Linked DNA regions of Lepisosteus oculatus. The main gene of each other region encodes a partner of the protein of the gene in region 2 in a complex. Links are inferred from orthologs where the notes say so. Each region holds a gene or a part of one and is shown on either strand. Other genes may lie near its edges.

Region 1 (7,046 bases), on a different chromosome or scaffold from region 2:
CTAGTAGTTTCAGCTGACCTGCCACTAGAGAGCAGAAAGTCCCGTTTTCACGAGTTTATGTTTAAGTGTGAGTGTTTGTGTGTGGTGAAGTCCGTTGCTAGCATAAAATATCCCTCCTGGGTGTTTTTCTTTCCACTGTGGTTTTCTTTCCAATGTCCAGAGGCCTGTTATAATCTCCTAACAGACTCGGTGCCTGACAAACCCAGGTATGTTCTACTTCGTGTGTGCAGACTCAGATGGCTAAAAGTCCTGCCAGCTTCCTGGGGATCAGAGGCTTTTGCCCTCCAGTTGTGTGATAATAATGTAAGCAGTATCTTTTCAACTCACTTACTGTACCATTATTTCTCACTAAACAGCCCTTTGAAGGTGATCAAGTTCTGATAGACAAGGGTGGGAATGTCACTGTAGTAGACAGTTCCTGCAATGAGGTTTTATACCATCGGCAGAAACTCATTTGGTCCCAATCAGGCAATATACAGTAAGTGAATGAAGGCAGTTCTGAAACTCAAAATTTGGTACTGATCACAAATAGTGCGACTCAACAGACACATTCATTTTCGATATACCTGCCATCTTGTAGTTCTGAATTTTGCTGTCTGATGTCTGATGAACAAATACTAGAGTTGGGAACTGTTGAGTTGAGGCATTTGGATATTACATACTTTAGTCACACAACAAAAAATCAGCATGCACAGGACGTCATGTGTTGCACATTTGTAAGCAATCCCACTATAACCCTGAATATATTGTATAATAATTAAGCTTGCTAAAGAAAAGGCATAATTTTGTTGAAAATAAACCAAAACTTAACATGACATTGTGAAGACAGTATACAGTTACCGAGTCTCCTCTTGGACTTTTTGAAAATTTTTCAGACGTAGCATCTTTAATTCTTTGCCTTTGTTTATAAGGCCCCATTTCCTTTTATAGTCTTCTGCTTAAAATTATCAGAGAAAATGAACAGGGTTTTGTGCTTGAAGGAAAAGCTCAGTGTTAAGCTGTTTTTCCTAAAACAGAGAAGAGCTCAGCCTTGTTTGTATTAGACCACAAATTCTAATCCTTAATTAAATGTTCAACACAAGTAGTGTAAACTTTTATTTTTTAATCAGCTGACAGACATGTATGGATGCAAGCTTAGAGGAAAACTTTATTATGAAAGCTGGATACTATTTTAACTGCAGTTTCTGAACTTACCATTTGTTTATTTCTTACTGGGTCAGAACAAGCTATTAAAAGAGCTGTTGTTGGTTACAATGCCTCATTGAAAACCTTCACTGCATTTGAAGAGTAATCTGACTAGCGCCCTGGGACAATATGCTTCAATCCAATTATTTTTAATGTGATTGCATGATTTTGAAAAATTATTTATTTGATTATTAATTTATTTTCCTGATATATACAGTAATTTCCAGGTAAGCTTATCATTTTCATAAAATTGTTATGGAATTGTATGGAAGGCAAAGTTTTGTTTAAAAATTTATTATTGTTGCTTTTTTTGGCAGAAAACACTAAAGCTATGCTATCACTATGTGACTGTGAGACAGAGGCACTGTATATTGTTATTAACCTTCTGTTTTATAAATGCATATGTTGACTCAGGGTTTCCTTGTGTATCTGTATCAACAAAAATAGGAAATGTTTTTCCTTGAAAAGGGAAAGGAGTAAGTATTTTTCAGTTGTGACATTTCCAATTATTTTGATGGTCCACAATAAATATATATTACATTTTGAATGGGTTCTGGTTAGCTATCACAACTGAGTGGCCTGTGACAGCAGGCTTGTGTGTTACTATTTTCAGTACAATTATTTCAGTACATATGATGTGGATCCAGGCAAATATTTTTTTCCCCAGCCTTCAGTTTCATCTCCCATTGCTTCTGTGCTCAGAAATGTGTTCTATTTTGATCCAGCCCCAGTTTTAGATAGCCAGATTAAGGGGTGGCTTTAGAATATGAATATGTCAAACCTATTATTTTAGAATTGATTTCCTGCTTTCAAAAACAAACATCTTCTGTATACAAATCTGTATTCAAATTGCCTGGGATATTTGCAGCCCTTTGCCCTGTGCGGGCTCTTCACTATTTTGATGGTTGTTTGATTTTCAGTTCTTTTGGGCAGGTATTCCAGGTGCTATCGTATCTCCCACCCCTTTCATCTGGAATCTCTTGTCTTTTGTGGACATTGTGTAAGACAAGTATGTGCGTAATACAGCCCCGCTAGTTAAGAGCTAAACCAGGCCTTACTCCATGTGTGACTGCCATAGGTCAGGGGCGATGACCAGTGTGAAAACACAACTCAGAGCTCTGAGTTCCACTATTGTGCCGGAGTGACTGACTGGCACTTAACAGACACGAGCATGAACCTGTTCTGCAGGACTTCACAGGATGAGCTGCTGAACAGGATGACTGGTGCTGAAGTGATCAAATATGAATTAAATTACATTTTTTGACTTATTTGTAGTTTTTGTTCTCTTACCCAAAATATTTATTTTTCTGTTTTGGGCTATTTCAGTCTCTATGCCTTTAAAAAACAATTGTTGAACCCAGACATAACCTTAAGCGGACAGCAAATCCGTCCGTCGAAACTTCAGTACTGTTTGCGGGAGAGTGCTTGTTTGTTCTGCTCGAGGCAGTTGAAATGTAAAAGCAAGTGTTTGGGTTTCTGTTTGGCTCAGCTGACGGGTCCTTCAGTCTGGAGGCTGGCCCGTCACACCTTGGCTGTGTCACCTCTGGCTGGCTGTAGTGAAGAGCTCTGAGGTGAGGGAGCTGACTAGAATATTCTGATTCACTTCTGACCAGCTACAGATGGTGGAGTTTGGTAGTTTTGTGAGACTGAATTGTTGACGTTGGGGCCTGTGTCAGTCAGTATTCTGGTTCGGTGTATTTTCGTGTTATAAGACAGCAGCAGTCCTTGATTTACAAAAGGCCAAGGTTAATGATGCAGAATGTTTTGCTAGATTATCTCTCCCTATGCATGGTAATATGTCACGGATGTAGGAAAGGCAAGCCGTGGAATGACAAGGAGGGCGTAGCGGTGAAAGGGGCAACACAGAGGTTAGCCCAGACTCAGGGGGTCAGATGATATCGGAAAGAAATCTATGCCCTCAGGCCACAGACAGTAGCGACCTGGTGCTAGGCGGGTCTCAGGAAATCCGTACCCTCAATGCTGAGCAAGGAGTACAGCAGACACAGGAAGTAAATAGGCTACACAACAACAACAACAACACACGGGAAAAACATGAATAATCACAGGGAACTAGGAACAAGACAGAAGTAGAGCGCCCTCTGGATGCACTGGACGTGACAGGATTGTGGTAGGGGAGTTATACTGTAACAGGCGGCACTGTTGTACTGAAAAGACACTGCATTTATGTGTTATAAGTAGTGTATGAATATTCTTGAACAAATCACGCCTTTTTCTTTTGGCTAAAACAAAAGTTACTCTTGATAACGTTACAACGTCCTATTAGCTCAATTTACATTGTAGAGCTTTTTTTCTTTTGCTTTTTCTGTACAGTAATGGTGTGCGTCTCATGGCCAGGTCGCCACTTTAAACAAAGGATTATTCTCAACTGATTTATCTGGTTAAATAAAGGAATTTCTAGGGTTAGTTTAAATCGTGTTTCTGATCGACATGCAGCAGAAAGCACGATTATGTGTGTGCAACGCATCCATAAGGGTTATTATGAAAAAAAATAGAAATATAATTTCCTCAACAATGTAATTGTATTATTTTGTAAGAGAACCAGGAGGGTAAGCGCTTTCACAAGAATGTTTTCATTCATGAATGAAAAACGGCCGTTTCCACAACTGTATGTTAATTCAGATGCGAAGGATATTTGTTTTTCTTTTTTGCTCCAGTCCATGCATCCACTTATCGCATTAATCCACATACGGGGTTCATGTGCGGAGATATTATTATTTGACGTACAGTAGTTTGAAATTTCCACCATCAAATCACAGATGCGTGTGTACCATTTGTATTACGGTTGTGACCGGGTAGCTACGCCTGTGTAAACATAGGGCGGCCGCCGGGGCGCGCATGCGCGGTTTGCAGTCGTGTTCACACGCAGAAGAGGGAGCAGGTGTGCCTAGAGCTGATCTGGCTGTGAGCTGTCTTTCTCCATCCTTGTCTCAGAGAAGTTACCTGTCTCTCAATTGACCGTCTCTTTGAAGTGGACATTTTCCTGTCTGCAGGGAATTTTCTTCATTAGCTTTCCTAAGCCATAGGTAGGTAGCTGCTGAAATCATGATCCGATCCTGGCACAGTTGTGCAGGTAGCGAGCTTCGCCTGGTGTTGTGCTGTGCGATACTCTAGCAATCAAATGTTTACAGGCAGTGTGTTTTTAAAATAAAGGGGAGAAACCACATTACATGGATTGTTTCTGGACTTTTACGCGCTCGTAGTTTTTTTTTTGTCGCATTTTGAGATTCGTATCAGACGATTAAAGCCAGGATCTGTGTAGATTCCGAAGCGAATCAACCTCAGGAAACGCTTATTTGATTTAGCCTCAAGTTATTCCACGGGCGCCCATTAAACGTCGCGAATGACCATTTTTTCGGGATTTAGTTTTCTAGCGGGTCCCTGCAAAATGATGTAATTAGGGGTGAAGATTTCAGCCTTCACACCAGCCGGTCTCGGTGGACATCCTACCTGGACATGAAACGAACTGATACATAATGCTTTGTAAGAGGATTATTTCCCTTTAGTGGGATTTTAGAAAAAGGGCCGCACGATGCATTGTTGGTTTCAATCAAAAACAGACAAAAAAAAAAACCCAACAGCAGCCAAAGGCACGAAATTTGATTGTGCGTGCTGTTGATCTCCTTTGTAACAACGAAAAGGGGCAAGGCGTTTTTTTGTGCCTTTTTTATTTTCGGTACTGCAGTTTTTAAGACCAGGGCAACAGTTTCGCCCCCGGGTAATGTGTTAGTTGACAGAACAAAAATCCCTGATTATGGAAAAAATGGGGAACGTCTCTCGTCGAAAAACTCCGATCCCTACATTGAAAAATAAAACTTGCTGTTGACGTTTAATATGTGCATAATAGAGTAAGAGCACTGGATTATCTTGCCTGTTTTATAAAATCCATAATTTAACGAACGTTTCTGTTGCGAGTCTTATTTCCGTCCTGTATTCCTCATAGTTTGGTCTGAGATCGAAGAGCTTTATTTTATGCGAAAGGAATCGTGGTTTTTCTGTCACGCCTGTACTGTATAGGTAGACACGTGCGACAAGACAGGAGGTCCAAAAAATAATTGGTTAGACACGGGGACGCAATTTCGTATTTTGTGCTTCAGCTACTGTCGCTTAAAAGAATCTGGGGATGTTGAGCCAAAATACACTATTGGAATCAAGTTTGTTTCATATTCGAAGGCAATTTGACTGTTTTAGGTGCAATATCGAGTACATTTACATTCCTGTTGCCCTAGTGTGTTGAAACCAAACGATTACTAATCCTGCATGAGATGTCTGCGATTGACGTGCTTTAGTGGACATAATATGCTGACAGAAATAGTGAGGTAGCCTAGTCAAATCGAACAAAATTGGTGACGAAAACGCTTTGTGCAGATTAAACTCCTTTCAGTAACGGCATGTCATTTGTCAATCTGATTTTTTTTTTTGCCGAGGGAATTTTGCATGGATACATTTGAGTTTAGCTTAATTCTTAATATTTTAGTCAACGTTAAATATTAGGCAGATTGCACAAGCGTCTAAACCGCAGTTAATTGCGGAAAGAGTTGGAGCAGAAATAGCCAACAAAACAGGCATTCAGAAAGCATCAGGTTTTTGCGTTTTTCCTTTTTTTCCCCCACTAGCAATGACAAGCTAGTGACAGGATAAAAACAGTGAGGCCCGTTTATAGTGTAACACTGGATACAAAGCCCTGAAATATGAGCGTGGTTAGTTGTGCAGTTAAACCAACAGAGGCAGGGGCTGTGCTAGCACTTTGTTTGTTTTAGACACAATAGGACACTCCTGAGAGGCACATTACAACGCAGAACTGTACTGTGTAAAACACCGTGCCCAAAATACTGAATTTCTCCGGTTTATATGTGTCTCGTCAGTCTCGTCATTCTCTTCAGAGTTGTTTATGGGAAAATACCGACGTTCAAATATCTGAACTATAAAGGGATATCCTTCTTGTCCCTATTTTCTTTTTTCTGCCCATTTGTGAGTGTGTCTGAATGGAATAAGTGTGGTCTGTACAAGAATTTCGTTTTCAGCTTTGGCAAAGGCACCAGGCGACACAGAATGCTTGCCAACATTTCTGCAATTTCAGGGAAAGGTGCTTGTCCTGTTCAGGACTTTACTGTTAATTTTAGAAAATGCTCACCACTCAAAGCCTCCCCGAGAATACAATCAAGAAGCCCCAGCTATGGTCTTCCAGCTAAGCTATTCTTGCTCCTTCACATGGGTTTAAGTATCGCAGGTTTAATGGTCTGCTGAACTTTTGATGACGTACTTGATCTCCCAGAACATCTCCTGCTAAATGCCCAGCGTTGTTTCTTCTTAACAAATTAGACTACTAAGCCATTTTACGAGTCGTGCAATTTCTTTATATGAAAGCCGAAGCTTTCTGAAACGTGTTGGGGGGAGGGGGGGTAGACTTTAAGACCACATCTTCGTAATTAATCATGCCCTAGCAAAGCTAACAGGAGAAACTGATCTTTTTTAATTTCATTAGCCGCCGTCTGTATCCTGACAAATGTGACCTGTCGTACGGTGCGTTTGCAGCCCTCATTTATAATTCATGGTGCCCCTGTGGTCTGAATAAGTAAGGAAGCAGCACCTCTTCCAGCTGGAGGCAATTAGGTAACACGGAGGCGGGGTGTCGGGGAGCCGCTGAAAGAGTGGGTGAAGTCAAGGGCCCATTATAGCGGCAGTGCGAGGGAAGACGAACGGCGGTAAATGGTTTCTCTCAGAAAATGAATAATTGACAGGCTGATGCTTTCGGCAGCCTCTGTTTTTGATTTATGTACCTTTTCTTCAGGAGATTTAATTTTTTTTTTGCCTTCAAGATTTAATACAGCCTGCAAATTCCT
Region 2 (7,118 bases):
TCCTTAAGCCCCTTTTCATGGTTAGCAAGCTTGATTAAAACCTTAAGCCTACTAAATCAGAACAAAACCTAAATGCTTGGCTGTGTTCATTGATTACCTTTGTAATCCCCACCATGTGAACAACAATAAAAATAATTTTAAATTGAAAAACACTGAATGAAATTGGGCAGGATGGGGTGGCAGTCAGCACTCCTGTCTCAGAGCTCATGGGGTCCCGGATCTGGTCCATCTGTGTGGAGTTTGCATGTTCTCAGATTATCCACATGGGCTCTCTTTGGGGGGGTAGTATCCCCTCCCCTCTAGAGATGTGTTGGCCAAGTTAACTAGTGTTGATAAACAGGCCCTGTGCACGAGCCCTGCGGGGGACTGATGTCCCAGCCAGGATGCAGTCCTTTCTGGCTGCCCCAGCTTCCTGAATGACTTTTACAAGGACTTGTAAGCTTCTTTCTTACAATGGATGGATCCATGACAGAGCCTGAGCTGTGTTTGTTTGTGGCGCCCAAGAACCATAAGTTGCAATTTCAAAAAACACACCTAGAACAAGGAGCTCCCTTGTGTCAACTTCCCTTTCCCGATATAAACTGCACTATTGAATAAAACCCCAGCAGTTCAGCTGCTGCTGATAGTAACACACTGTGACAGTCCTTTGTGTATTGTTCTAAAGTTGTACAGATACAGCTGTAAATAGACTAAACTCAGCCCTGTTTAATTCTGCTAAACAAAGAGCCTAGATACTGTAAATGCACACTAGTGCTTTTACTGCACTATAAGAACCTCAGTACACCTGTAAGAGCAAATAGCAATCTCAGCAAGTGGTAGAGTACCTTTCAGTTGTACAGTAACTCCACAAGGCTAAAACACACACTATTACTGTCCTGCAAGTGAATACCTAAACCTTAGTGAACAGCAGTTAAGAGCTGCTAAACAGAAGTGAAGGGTGTGCACATTCAGAGTAAACACGCAGGTACAGCATGTGGGACAGACTAAAATTGCAGGGAGTGCACTCCAGTCTGGGACCTGGCTGCAACTTAGCTGAGCAGCCCTTTGGACCCGTTGTTGACTCTGCCAGACCTGTGGAGTAGCCAAAGCTGACTTGCGGAGGCCCCGAACGTTTTCTAAGAACATGTGCATGCTACAGTGATTTGGGTTTGTATGCAAGCTTATTTCAAACGGCATCTGTGTTTGCAATGGCTTGCGATTCTCATGCCTGAGTAGCAGGGTGGATGCACTGAAGCACACAAAGCCTGCAGGCTACAGCATTCCACAGAGCAATGCAATACTTCCTGACAATGAATAAACCCCTTTGTTCCGAAGCTGTGGAAACATCAACCCATCCGCAACCCCTTTCTCCTGTTTCTTGTTGTTTTTCTTTTAAGAATCTAGGATTTGTCCATTACGATCAGGACTTACTGCCTATCAGGTTCCAGAAGGTCTGTGTTGTCACCGAGCTCCGGCTCACAGGATCACTGTAAGACACATTACAGTGGAACGCAGGTGATCAACAGGGAGATGCCTGTATCCGCCTGCTGCCTGTGTTTCTTCAACAGACTCTACACCCTCAGGTTAATCGAATATAGAAGTTGCGAAATTCATTCTTGATATTTCAGTTAAATATCAGAGGAGGTGAAGACTTAAGTAAAAATTGGGGGGAAACACACAGATCGTTGTCATTCTACTGTTGCAATTTATGGTGATGGAAGACTCGTGAAATGGCTTCACTTCAAACCTCCAAGTGAGGTTGACTCCAAGACCTTAAGCTCAAAAATAACTCCTCGGACAAACAACCACGGCATAGGTCAACACGAACAATTGGCAGAGTATTCGATTTCAAACGGATGAAAACACAATAAGTAAAACTGTTAAAGCATTGATGCCTACTTGGCAGAGAGCATGAAGAAATGATAATCACCCCCCCACACACAAAAAAGGGGGTCACAGTGACGACAGTGAGTAACGTTTTAAAACTAAACGATGAGCGTCTGCGGGTGTCCGAGAGTCCGCATTCCTTCCGCACTTGGGCTAGTGGATTCCTGGACAGTCAAATGTCCGTCCCTGACTCATCCGCTGCGAGTCCCGGACAAACACACACACCCAGTAATCCTGTTACGTGTCTCTCAGAGAATGTCATTGAGCAACGGTTTCTGCTTCCTCGCTAGAGTAAGACTGCCGCTTTGCATTTTAAGAGTCTTGTTGTAAATAGTGAAGAAAAGGACAGTATACACAATCGTACATGAACAACCCGACCAACCTCAAGTTACAATATGTCTTATGGTCTTGGTTAAGGCGGCGTACCGAGTTAACATTGCACAAACGAGTACAGACGGGCGGACACTGTCTTGAATCTTAAAAAAAAAACAACGTACAGAGGTCGCCCCGTAAAACAAAAACCGAATTACGCGAATCGCTTTGAACATCTCAACCTTCACCAAAGAAAAAAACAGTAACTTGTAACAGTGTCAGTTTCAGAAATAAAGGAGCTGATATCAAAGCTTAATTGCAGCAGAGCAGTTCAGCATCCTGTCAGCGTATTCAAACGCTTTTATTTCTCCTTACACGTTACAATGTGAAGGCAGCAGGTCTGGGCACATTATTAAGGTGTGAAATGGCGCCGCCAGCTGCGGTTACCGTCCAGCAGCCGCTGTGACAGAGGCAGGTGGGAAGAGGTTGTTTCAGGTACCTCTCGGTGTACCGCAACCTAGGACTCTGCTCCCCGGACGTAGTGTAACAACATGTCGTAATTTCGCCTTGATTTCTCAACTTTCAACCGTAGCGACTGTTTTTGCTATACGTGTGCTAAAAAGAGCCCGGGCACAGACGATTAGTCCCCCGGTCTTAATGGATAGTAATATTATTCACAGAGCAGCAGACCAGATATCTCGGGTACCTCACAAAAGCCCGATGAAGCCAGTGCCGAGCACTTACCGTGTGCGATCAGTGCAGCTAATGTTACTAACGCGCAGGCTAACATCAACCATTACGGAATGAGAGAAAACGATGTTTTGTAGCACTCCCTTTACCTTTGAACAAATAGTCATATTCGTCGTCTCGGGTTCCCATCTTGATTCCAGAATAAATCGAGCCAAGTGAGAATGAAAATACGGGATGGCAGCCGCACCGTGTTGCCCACTCCAGCCAAATTACCACCCGAGACCTGCAAGAGTCAAGAAGTCTGCACTTCCGGGGTCACAGCGGGGTCACCATTGATCAACATTTGTTTCTTAAATATTGCATATCTGTTCCAAAGGTGGGTGGTATGTGCAGTCACTCCTCTCTGGGCCACGATCTTTAAACGTCCTTCTGATACAGGTCCGGTTTACTGAAACCTACAAAGGCGTCTAAACGAAATGAGCGCAGCGTTTCCTTGGAGTCTATGACGTAATGCTGCCGGGCGCGTGTGCCTCTTCGATAGTGCGGTACGGTCCGCGTTCCCGAGATTTCGTACTATCCCGTTTACCATCTCTTCGTTGATTGTGTCTCCTGATTAAAGGAACACGCACACACAGGTTTTTGCATCCTGCAAATGTGACACGCGCACCTTAATGCAACTGTATGTATCTGCTGCCAGGGAAGACATGTAGTGAATTCAGCTCTCTGAGATTGCCAGGTCCGCATCATGTACGTCTAATACTCCCGTACGAATACGTACTGAAACGATTCAACTTTATAAACGTTTAGTGGTATTTACTGAGTGCTTTGTAAATCTCGTTGGTGTGTGCATTGCTAGATGTGGCAGATAAAACGACGAATTAACGACGGTGTCATTGCCCAGCTTGTTTTAGGCTCATGCAAGGGGGTTTACGTACAGGAGGTTCCATGGTGTAATGGTTAGCACTCTGGACTCTGAATCCAGCGATCCGAGTTCAAATCTCGGTGGAACCTGACTTTTTTCCCTACTTGTTTAAATAACAGCACAGCAAAATAGCTGGCATGTTGTCCTCGTTTTACACATCGAGGATACGCGAAATTGTTAAATAAAAACGTTTAAATTGAATATATTTATCTTGACTGCTGGACGAGCGTAAATTCAATATCGTGTCAACAGATGGCAGTAAAGGCGATGTAGCTGTGACTGGGGGCGCAGGTTCTCTCTACTCCATTTTGCACCAATCAGGCTGGAAAAACGGGAGCCCCACCGTGCGAAGATGGCGGGGTTCGAGCGGAGGGTTCCGGTGGGTCTAGCTTCAGCCCGACGGTTCGCTGAGATGCAAACACCGAGCTGCAGAAAGTCAGTCAGCTGGAAGTAGCGCCGGTCCTGGTGCTGCATTGTATGTAACAGCGGAATGCGAACGAATCCTCCCTTTTAGATTGTAAAACTTGTGTCTTTTCCGTTTTTAATTGCACTCCCTCACGTTGTCTTCTGTCCTCGTTGTACTGTCTACCGGGTTAACACGCTTACAGACCTCCGACTGCTGTGAACGCAGTTCTACAAGGAGCCTGTAAAGATGACCCGGTCTGTATTAATGCAAGAAGGAACAGCAGGCCTGTATAAAATAAAAAGTATGAATCCAGCAGGAGGCGGTAGTAAGATTGGCACGGAAACCTCAAACTTCATTAGAAAAGTCTTAACTATGATGTTGTTCCTGAAGTTCCCAGCGCATAACCCGAGTGTGTTACAGTTCTCTATGTAGCCACAGCGGTTTCTGTGACACTGCCCTGTGCTGACCGGATGGTTACTGCTGTAACGGAATGCAAACTCTTCAAGACGCGGCGTCCATCCGGCATTTTTTGCTCCGACAGCATTGGACCCTAAAATATTCTGATTTTGTGTCCGTGTCAGTTCTCAAGTTCGCCGGTCGCAACCCAGCGGTGAAAAAAAAAATCTGACACAAATGAAGTCGAAAGAAAAGTTGTACTAAAACTGACTACATAGCCATATCATGATAAATATTTATGAAGAATTTACAGGATTGTATTAATGAATACAGAGCCTTACAACGTAAGGATACCCTAAACGTAAAGGAAGTGTCCCAGACGTCAGTGAGACAGTTTCAGACACTGTATAAGGTACTTCAGAAAGGGATAACTTTTTCAATTAAGAAGTTAAAGGAAGGAAGATTGCTTTTAAGAAAGAATGGATTGGCTTGCAGAGTAACTGTACACACACTTCATAGATGACTCTGACAACATCTTAAAGTTTTTCTCTTCCACTATCTTGTTAATTTTAAAAAGCAGAATTGACTTGCCTTTGGAATGGGTTATCTTTTTAAGACTAACCTTCTCAACTCTGGGTGAATACCAGACTTCTGCATGAGCTCCTGTCACGGCTTGATGCCCAGGGCCGGCCACCAGACCCTAGACGCTCTCGTGTCATAAATACCTCTCCACCTGTGTGGCAGGGGGGCTCATTGCAATGTGACATGCGTGGGGGCTGTGTCGTTTCTGGGAGAAAGCGACGGTGAGCTGCTGATGAAACAGGCCCTTGTCTCTCCTTGTAGGTTCTTCTCCTGCTCTACCACCCCACCTGGCCAGTTCAGGTCAAAGGTCAAAGGGCGGGTAAGACGGAAGCCAAGCAGCAGTGGGAAATTTGGACTCAGTACCAGTCATATCAGAAGGCCCGGCCCCCACCACAGGTGGGCTCCAGCTGCCAGGGGCCACAAAAGAGTTTGGAGGGCAGAGGCGACAGGCACTCACGTCAGCGCCACACTGACTGAGAGGGCGACACTGACTGCCAGCCCGGCCTTCCGTCTGCCTCTCCCGCGCCCGCGAAGGACCGTACCGCCAAGAGCCTGGCCCTCTCCAAGCACTCCCGCCCCGCTGGCTGGAGGCACAGGTCAGCGCCATCGGCCTCGCGTGGGCTCCCGGCAGAGGCGCGGGACCCGCGGGCTCTCGACCCGGCCGCAGGCTGGCACTGGAAAGGCTTCGAGCCCAGGAGCCCGATGGGCCAGACGGCCTTGTTTTGCAGGTCACCTCCCAGGTGCCGCAGGGTGTGTGCAGCCTGCCATACAGACACAGCAGCTCCCAGCACCTCAGGGTTGCCGTTGGCTGTCGTCTTACTCAGGTAAAGCTGAGGAAACCTTACAGCTGGCAAGGCATGATTTCACTTACCGCTGCCAGAAACCGCCTCTATCACGATTCCGCGTGATTTGAACGTAGCGTGTGTTGTTTGTGAGATACCGTGTTTTGAACTTATGGAGTGCCGGCCTGCGGAGATGAGCACAGCGAGCTGGTAGACTGCAGCGCAGACATCACTATGACTTTGTGAGCTGGGTTGGGGTCACAGAAAGCATGTAACTGGGGACTGGCTCAGTGCCACCAATGGTGTAGATCTCTGTTTTGTTTGAAGGAGTCTGGATACAGTGGGCAGCTTCTGCACATTAGTATTCAGTGTGAGCAGGTCAAGACAGGTTTGGGTCTCGGTTCGCTATCCCCCTGGCGTAACAGAGGGGAAACTGCAAATAACAAAATTAACCTTTAAGCTGTGGATGAACAAATTGCATATTTGCTTCAGTGATGTCCATATTAAAGTCTGTATTTACCTTTTTTTTGTCCATGTTGTTTTTTGTATGTAGAAATATTTCATCACCCAACTTTGTACTTCTGATACAAGTATCAGAAGTACAAAGGGAGCTATAACTCAATAATTTCACTTAAGAATAGAGAGTGCTACCTTGTCTGATGCCGCCATCACTGGAAGTCTGCCCCACACTGAACTCTTCGCTTTTCTACAGCTTCTTCACGCTGAGAAGAGCGCTGCTTTTGTCAACATTGTCCGTGTCCACTAGGTGGCAGACTTGCCGCTTTCTTTCCAAGTTGTGACACTTGATCAACACATAAGGTCAGCTATTTGTAAGGGTGGGAAATGTGTCCTTGCGGTTGTCATTGTACGTGAATAGAAAATGTTACAGTGTCTTAAAAACACAGCCTGGTATATCAGGTACTGGGGCTAATCACAAAAAAATGACTGTAGAAAGCAGGGTTGTGGGTTCAGTTGTCTGATGCGGTTAAAAACAATTGAAATAATCTATGGAAGTTTTTATTGTTCAGTGCTTTTCCTGCTGCATGAGATGCAAAGTATTTTTTGATTAATGATCTGTATATTCCTCATCTGTTGTTAGTGCTTAAAAATCCTCTATTTTCTAATTAATTTTTTACTTGCTATTTTAAATGGTGATATAACT
Region 3 (7,495 bases), about 2.8 Mb from region 2:
GAAATAAAGAAATTACAAGAGGATTTTAACAGGAAGATATTTGCATAATGTCCCAGTAATTTTAAATATCAGCCTAGAAACTACTATCCCTAGAATACTGTGTGAACATTTCAGTCAACCATAAAATGAAAGAAGTTCAAGTTGGTAGCTGTGTCAGCATGCATAGGCTGCAAAGGAACAGCTAAACGTTTTATTCCATGCTGAGAAGAAAAGAGACTCAACGTTTGGACTCTGGAGCCTTCTTCAGGAGGCTGAAGAAGGCTCCACAGTCCAAACACCGAGTCTATTTTCTTTTCAGCAATGAAATAAACCATTTGTGTTCCTTTGCATAAAATAAAGGGTTATGCAGTTGCTGAATTCATTTGGGTCCCTAGTGTTTCCAAGTGTACTCAGCCAAATGGAGATTGAGAGTTAACCTTCTACGTCAACAAGCGTAACTTCAAATGTCAAACCTTGATTTCTTCTTTTGTTTGGAACACTGGAAAATATTTATTTGCAAATACAGAGACCACAGTTCTTAAACTTGACCTCTTTTCATTATGGCATAAATATATCACAGCATATTTGGGAGTCTTGAGAAATATACAGCAAAGAGCTTCACAACTGCTGTTGAAAAATGGGTAACAGAAATATTTAATTAGTGTACCCTTAGGGTGTTGCAAACTGGATACACCTTCCTCTCCCACAAGTAAAATACTTTTAACTGTGAATCATAACTGCAGTTAAAGTTTAACAAACTGCTTCAAGGTGGTCTTAAATATGCAAACCCCTACTGTATATATGAAAGCACATGAGCTACAGATTAATTGAAAAGGCTTATATGTAGAATATTTAATATAATATTTATATTCTCACTAGTTTTTCAGCGTTGCACCCCTGCCTTTTCTGATCATCACATAGGTCTAGTTCTGCTATTTGCTGTCTGCCACTTATAGCTGTTAAAATGCTGAGTTGCAGATATAATCATCACAATGCAGTAACTGAGTCTCAGGCTATGCATGACTACACAAAAATCTGAAGGAGCCACTGCTAATCTAACATGAACTCAAAACAGCTCATCACATGACAGAAGTTCATGTGAGAATCTGCTGCTTTTCTGGATTGCCCAAGACATCCAGTCTTCTGGATGGTCCCTCCTGTTTTGTGCTATATGGTTCCTCTGTTTTGTGTTATAAGGACTTCTCACCAGCCGTAGTACAAAAAAAACCCACAATCACCCATTTATAAAATCTGTACTCCCCTTTAAGTCATTACTGACAGGCTTTCCATAGTACAGCATCAAAGTACTTCTACTTTTGTCATACCTCTCTAATCTGGAAGGACTGAAATCATCACAAGAGGCAATAGGAGTAAATATATTCCTGTGCTTTTACTATTGAGATTTCTTTTCCACAGTCCTTTTTGCTATTAAATGAATCTGTTACCACAGATATCTACTGTGAGTTCTAAGTAGCTCTCTACAGTTAACACTGTCTTGTTTGAGGATGCTCCTCGGAAACGCTATGGAATGAAGAACAGAAGGGGTCCCACTGTCACCTGCGTCATGAGGGGCTGGAAGAAAAGAAGGCTGGCCATCCAGTTATCATGGTATTTGTCTCAATCTGTGAAGCCCTGCTCCCAGAAGCAAAAGGAGAAGTATCAGCAACTTTGCTTATCTACTGCAGGTAACTGTGACTGCCCCATGCATTACAGACACATGGTTAGGAAATTAAAATGATTACAAATCCAACCATTTTCTTAACCAATTATCCATTACAGGATCACAGTAAGCCAAAAATGCAGCCTATCCTATAGCAAGCAACAGGAACAACGCAGCACCCTGAACAGGACACACGTCCATTTCAGGGCACAGATACAAACACAAACACACACCAGGGCCAGCTTTCCCTGATGTTAATTGACCTAACAGTATGTCTTTGGACTGTGGAAGGAAGCCAGAGCACCTGAAGGAAACCCACACGACCAAAAGAAGAATATACAAACTCCGTGCAGAGAACACCCCAGGATCTGAACCCAGAGCTCAGCCCTGCAAAGCGTCAATGCTGCATCACGTACCACCCATTATTAATGTTATCAAAAGAATAATCATGCATGAGAAATGGGTCTTATTTTCTGGATGTATTCTAAGGAGTGACAATTGCTAACACACAGCAATTATAACAGAGGACTGACACAGTAAAGCACATCTAGCGTTTTCAGTCCTTTTCAGACAACATGTTTCAGGGTTCTTGAACTATTTTGCTTTCTGTAATAATTCTCACTTCAGGTATCACTTTACTCATTGCATGCTATGTGTCCTGGTGTCTTCAGAGTTGTAGGGTGTAACACTCTTCTGTAGTGTGAGATTTTGTTTAATCCTAAGACAACACTGCAATGTTAAGGATACTGCCTTCTCGCTATCAAAAATACAAAGTACACTCTCAGAGAAAATTCAAATGATTAAAAATGGGAAAACAGTCAAACCCACAGCTGGTTTGACAGTAGCAAACACTAGCAATTCCTCCTAAAATAACTCATCTGATCATTTGTGATACGTCCAAGGTTCTGTACCCAAAATATCATAAGTCAAAATTATTTCTCTGGAGACCCAATCAGATAATTCAGGAAATGATAAAGGCATGTCCAGTTGCCTATCTGAAGCACACCAAAAGCTCCTTTGCTTACCTTCACATGTATGAACAACAAACAAAGCAAGATATGGAGGTACTTACTTTTACGTACATAAAATCCAACTCCTGGTTCATCTTCAAGCTCTTTGAAAGCACTATTTACTGACGAGCTTAATAACTTTGTTGAGACATGAAATGCAGCCAGCACAGAGAAAATGGATTGGTTGAAGTCACACTTGATGAAGGCTTTCCATTGCAGCTACAAGTGTTTACGGGCTTCTACTGTAGCTACAAGAATCTTGATATTCCACACTGCTGGACTTATCACCAGTGAGACTAGGAGCTGAAGGACACTTCCACAGCCCTCCAGAGCACAGACACAGCCCAGTACGAGTGGCGAATTTCTGATTGCTATGATGTGTACTCAGTTATCTTTCAATGGCATTTTATTTTCCCATTTAGAGCACAAAGGGGAGAGTGTTTTCGAATGGGCTACGTAGTAAGACAATTATGAACACAGCTGGTCTTATGACAATTCATGGTCTACAAGATAGTGGATCACCAATTGCCTCCAAGGCAAGGAGTTAATGCAGAGCACAGAAACTGCTTTTCTTCCTAAGCTTGGAAACCCACACATTTCTATTAATTTGAAAGCTGGACCAATTACGGAAAAATAATATGTTAGGGGACACAGGACTTGGGCATACAATCAAATAAAGTTCTGCTGAACATTCCGTGCATAAATACATTCAAAGGCATAGTACTGAACTGACGTTGCAATATTTCAGTGGAGAACCAGCAAAGTCACACAGCAGCAAAGCACTCTGTTAAAGACATGCTGAATAAAGAGAGAACAATATTGCATACTGCAGAATTACTCTATTTAAAGCATGTGTATGTATGGCTAAAATCATCTGTTTCAATGACTAGACCACAACTTCCTTGTCATACATTTGTGTTTATTTCTGCATTAACCTTTTTTGTTGGCATTTTTCATTTTTTAAATACATTACGTTAAACCAGGTGCATTCCTTATTTGAGGGAGAAGGTGAGAAGAAGTGAGAAATGAGCCCATCTTGTGCAATCTGCATGCACTGGTACGCCCTAGTTTCGAAGGTGCAGAAACTGTAGAAATCTGTAGCCATGCATCCCTATCAGGAGCTGCTGTGCCAGTGAAGGCGTAGGCCAAGTCCATGAGCTGCTGGCTCTGCCTGAGCCTTACATCATCTGTGCTCACTGCCTCTTTGTGGTTAGGAACTCAAGGTTTGGTAAGAGGCTCATTACACTTCTAGACCAAACAGAGCACTGCATTGCTATTACATCATTTCCTCAGGGAAGGGACTGCAGACAGCAAGATTAAACAAATCGCAAGGACCTCGGTATCAGTCCCATCTTCGCTACCACCATGCCTAATGCAACCATGCTTTTATTTTGCGTGAACAGCCAAGAATGTGTTTTGTTTGGCGCATTTCGTTTCTGTTTCTGCTTCAAGAGATGGACAAAATAATTCGATTTCATGAATCTGCCTCAATCTTGCTATAACTTGTTCTAAGAACAAGAACATTCTGAGCATTTTCTTTGCAAAAACCAATTAACTTTTTTTGTAACACACAGGTTACACAAAGGCAGATGTGGACAGCTGAATGCAAGCTTGGTACAAGCACAGGCAAACACTGATGACTAAAGTATGCCTGAACATTCCTGTGTCTGTCAGCTGTGAAACCCTTAGAGATGTTTACAAAGCTAATGAAGTTCTCACACGCTGGCTTAAGACAAATGGACTATTTATTCTGCCCTGGAATACTGCAATTACTAAACTTAAAGTTATGCTTTTCTCCTTCCTGCCACTGCTTAGATTACAGGATGTGCTGTGAATATGGCCTAATAAAAATATGCACAGATGAAGAAAAAATACTTTTTCATAAAACCTAGTCTATAAACCATGCTCATATTCATAGCATGCGATTCCTATAGTTCCAGTCACACTATTAAAAGTAATCTATTTTTTAGATAAGAAAATAAATTCTGTTGACCTTACACTTCAATATATTGCATAGAGTAGTGATAAGGCCAATTTGATCAGCAATGCAGGACTGAGGGCATGCAGTTCATTAGACTCCAGTCCATGGACTGTGATGTTGCCACTACTCCTCTGGGCCAGCAGCCTGAACCAGGACTAACAAAGCTGCTCTCCAAGGTGCTTAATTAGTTAATGGGTTATGATCTGACTGTGTTTTTCAAGCAAAAATAATAACGGAACTGTACATTAGCATGTATTTATATCGTGTAACAACATAATAGCGCGCCTCTACACAGAGAATGTACAGTAATAATTACGGTCTAATAAATCCAGTTTCAATCAACTGCATTCTATGGAGATGAATCTGTCAACGGTGTACAGTGAATCCAATCAACAGCTCATCCATTACCGGGTTGCCTTGTGCTGATTTCACAGCACAAAAAGAGGCAGCGGTTTGCACAGCGTTAAGGCAAGGTGGCTGGGGCACCTTGCGCCACAGTGCATCGTCACTGATGGAAATGGCCTGGCTCAGCATCACAGCCGTACCTATCCTGCGTTCTTCGTTCAACTTCACAGTCCGACTCGCACACACAGTAAACACCGGGCTGAAGATGCAGCCCTCGAAAAAACAGCCTTATTCCGGACTGTTACTCGTCCATATCCTTAAAGAATGTTAAATTCTAAAGGAGGTTCGTTAGTAGCACTTGATTTTCCATCAGCAGTATTTTCTGCAACCATCGCCCCCTGACACTCCACAGTTACGCATAAGCATTAAATGTGCTCAATCTAATTTATAGGAAAATAGCTATACTCTGAAAAAAAAACAATAATTACATCCATTCTCCCCTTGACTTGAAAAAATAATTCCGAGAATATGGTAGAATTTAACGTCTCTGAGCACATTTGAAGGACAGAGCTGTGCAAGTACCGGTTAATTTAACTGCCCTCGGGTGAATCAGACAAGCATTCGTAAGACACTGATTTTTTTTTTAAAGGAATAAAAAACGGTGTCCTGCAGCAGCAGCACTGTAGCACCAAAAGTCTCGTTTCAGCGCCACATCGCACACACGCAATTCAGTGGTACATTAAACTGCGGAGAACCAAAAATCAAAAGATGTCATTCATTCATTCCTGCCTGCCTGGCCATTGTTCAATCGTCTGCTCCACCGGCAGCTGGTTTGCTCTTTTTCTGTGGGGGGGGGGACAACATCACAGAACGGGAAATACAATCTTAACTCAGACGCGCATCCCAAAACACGGGACGGCTGCTGGGAAACAGTAACATGCAAAAGCTGCAGCTGCAATCTGAACGCCGCACCGTCAAGCGGAATACAAAATCCAGCATTACCTTTGTGTACAGCTCGGACGCTGCCATGACGGTCTATCCAGCGTTGGTCTAATCCTGGTCAGCAGAACATCAGTGGTGCGCTTAATTTGTCGGACTCGCTTCACTGGCGTTGCTCTCTTGTTCTTTGTAAATCCTTTCCAGCAAACGGGGAGACGGCTCAAGCAGAGGTAGCAAACGCCATGATACCTGAAAATCTTGCTATTTTAGTGTCTCTCTGTGCATTCTGGGTATGATGAATGAAATCATTCAGCGAAAACCCGTTGCTAACCATGAATCTGATGTAATCCGAGCGACGGCTGCCTCCCAGCGGCGGTGCTTCATTTTTAACACAGTTCTGTCAAATGTTGAAATAAATAGAGCGTCCGTCGGTGGCGTAAATCAGGTTTCGAAAGAAGCTGTAATCAACATTCATTTTCCAAACAATGCACATACTGAGTGGTATAAATTTGAAAGGCATCTGAGTATGTCACGAAAAACTAGGGTAGAAATGTAAATGAGAACGTGAGAACTAGACCATGGTTTTTTAACGTTGTAATAGGGATATATCCGCAGCAGGGAACTACTATTAAATCTGTGTCTTCCAATATGAAGCTAATTTTCTTGATAAAAAGTTTAGTTAGCAGAACTATAGTTTAATATTCCATATGAATAATAATGTCCTTTCCGTTGACAACCATTGTACTGTCTAGACTTCTTAAGAGTAATAGCCTTAGTCAATCTTAATTAAAAAGAAACTTTAATTCTGTCCAAGACACGATAAGGATGTGAGTACAGCAACTTGAGACTATGCAATTAATTTAACTAAACGTTTTAAAGTTATGTTTTCATTGTTAGATGCTTGACAGATTAATTTAATAAAACAATAACCGAAAGGAGTGTATCTTCTGTTATTGGGGAGAATTGGGGAGAGTTTAACTGATCCGTACCCAGTTGATAACTGCAAAACAATTACATTATTTTAGTCAAATTAAAAATCAAAATATCGTTCAATGAGTTTCTTGATGCCTCTTGACCAACAATATAGCGATCTCTTTAAGTTATCTATTGCACCTCTTTCTTCAGTAAACGCTAAAATCCATCAAATTGACGTCAGGAAAAAATGTTATAGTCAGAATAAAGAGGACCCATGCAGTTAATCGAAAACGGGTATATTTCAATTGTTTCTCCAGCATTACTAATGACTGGGGTATCGATGCAAATACATCATGCGTTTATATTATTGACCGTTTAGTTTCTACTTTCTAAGGAAGGAAAATACAAAAATAGCTTAACTGCCAAAAAGACTCTCGCCTCCCAAGCGGTAAACACATCCCCACGTCTTGGGACTCTATCCTCTCAAGACAGACCGGTTTGCGTTATCAGCCATCAGAGGGAGTCTGGTCGTGTCGGCTTCTGATTGTCGTCGGGCTACTGCAAGTACGAGTTGCAACGCATATTTCTGCTGCTCGTCATCCATTCCTCCATTTTCAGTTCAACTGGCCTTGTGAGGGTGCCAGGCTTATAGTTTTTTTTTCTTAT

The links. The genes of interacting proteins can lie anywhere in the genome.
Region 1: the proteins of rab11a (region 2) and rab3ip are in contact, whole or in part, in a crystal structure (PDB 4UJ5), measured with the Homo sapiens proteins. The link is inferred for Lepisosteus oculatus from reciprocal best matches to the Homo sapiens genes RAB11A and RAB3IP. Residues at the interface, in NP_004654.1 of Homo sapiens: Phe36, Leu38, Glu39, Asp127, Leu128, Arg129, His130, Leu131, Arg132, Ala133, Pro135, Thr136, Leu156; in NP_783322.1 of Homo sapiens: Asn367, Thr368, Leu369, Ser370, Ile371, Glu372, Pro373, Asp412, Arg424, Thr428, Cys431, Asn432, Thr435, Tyr439, Leu444, Val445, Lys446, Gln447, Gln448.
Region 3: the proteins of rab11a (region 2) and myo5aa are in contact, whole or in part, in a crystal structure (PDB 5JCZ), measured with the Homo sapiens proteins. The link is inferred for Lepisosteus oculatus from reciprocal best matches to the Homo sapiens genes RAB11A and MYO5A. Residues at the interface, in NP_004654.1 of Homo sapiens: Arg33, Glu35, Ile44, Gly45, Val46, Glu47, Phe48, Ala49, Thr50, Gln63, Trp65, Gln70, Tyr73, Ala75, Ile76, Ala79, Arg82; in NP_001369276.1 of Homo sapiens: Ile1660, Gln1661, Trp1738, Met1742, Arg1745, Tyr1746, Ser1749, Gln1750, Glu1753, Arg1756, Gln1777, Gln1780, Val1781, Lys1782, Lys1784, Met1795, Glu1818.

The regions. Positions count from the first base shown.
Region 1 is NC_090702.1:23,324,096-23,331,141, reverse strand, and holds the start of rab3ip (rab-3A-interacting protein), read left to right. Parts: upstream 1-4,046; 5' UTR 4,047-4,229; intron 4,230-7,046. UniProt on the Homo sapiens protein: Guanine nucleotide exchange factor (GEF) which may activate RAB8A and RAB8B. Promotes the exchange of GDP to GTP, converting inactive GDP-bound Rab proteins into their active GTP-bound form.
Region 2 is NC_090700.1:47,580,434-47,587,551, reverse strand, and holds the start of rab11a (ras-related protein Rab-11A), read right to left. Parts: upstream 3,001-7,118; 5' UTR 2,969-3,000; coding exon 2,923-2,968; intron 1-2,922. UniProt on the Homo sapiens protein: The small GTPases Rab are key regulators of intracellular membrane trafficking, from the formation of transport vesicles to their fusion with membranes.
Region 3 is NC_090700.1:44,823,314-44,830,808, forward strand, and holds the start of myo5aa (unconventional myosin-Va), read right to left. Parts: upstream 3,001-7,495; 5' UTR 2,745-3,000; coding exon 2,712-2,744; intron 1-2,711. UniProt on the Homo sapiens protein: Processive actin-based motor that can move in large steps approximating the 36-nm pseudo-repeat of the actin filament. Can hydrolyze ATP in the presence of actin, which is essential for its function as a motor protein. Involved in melanosome transport.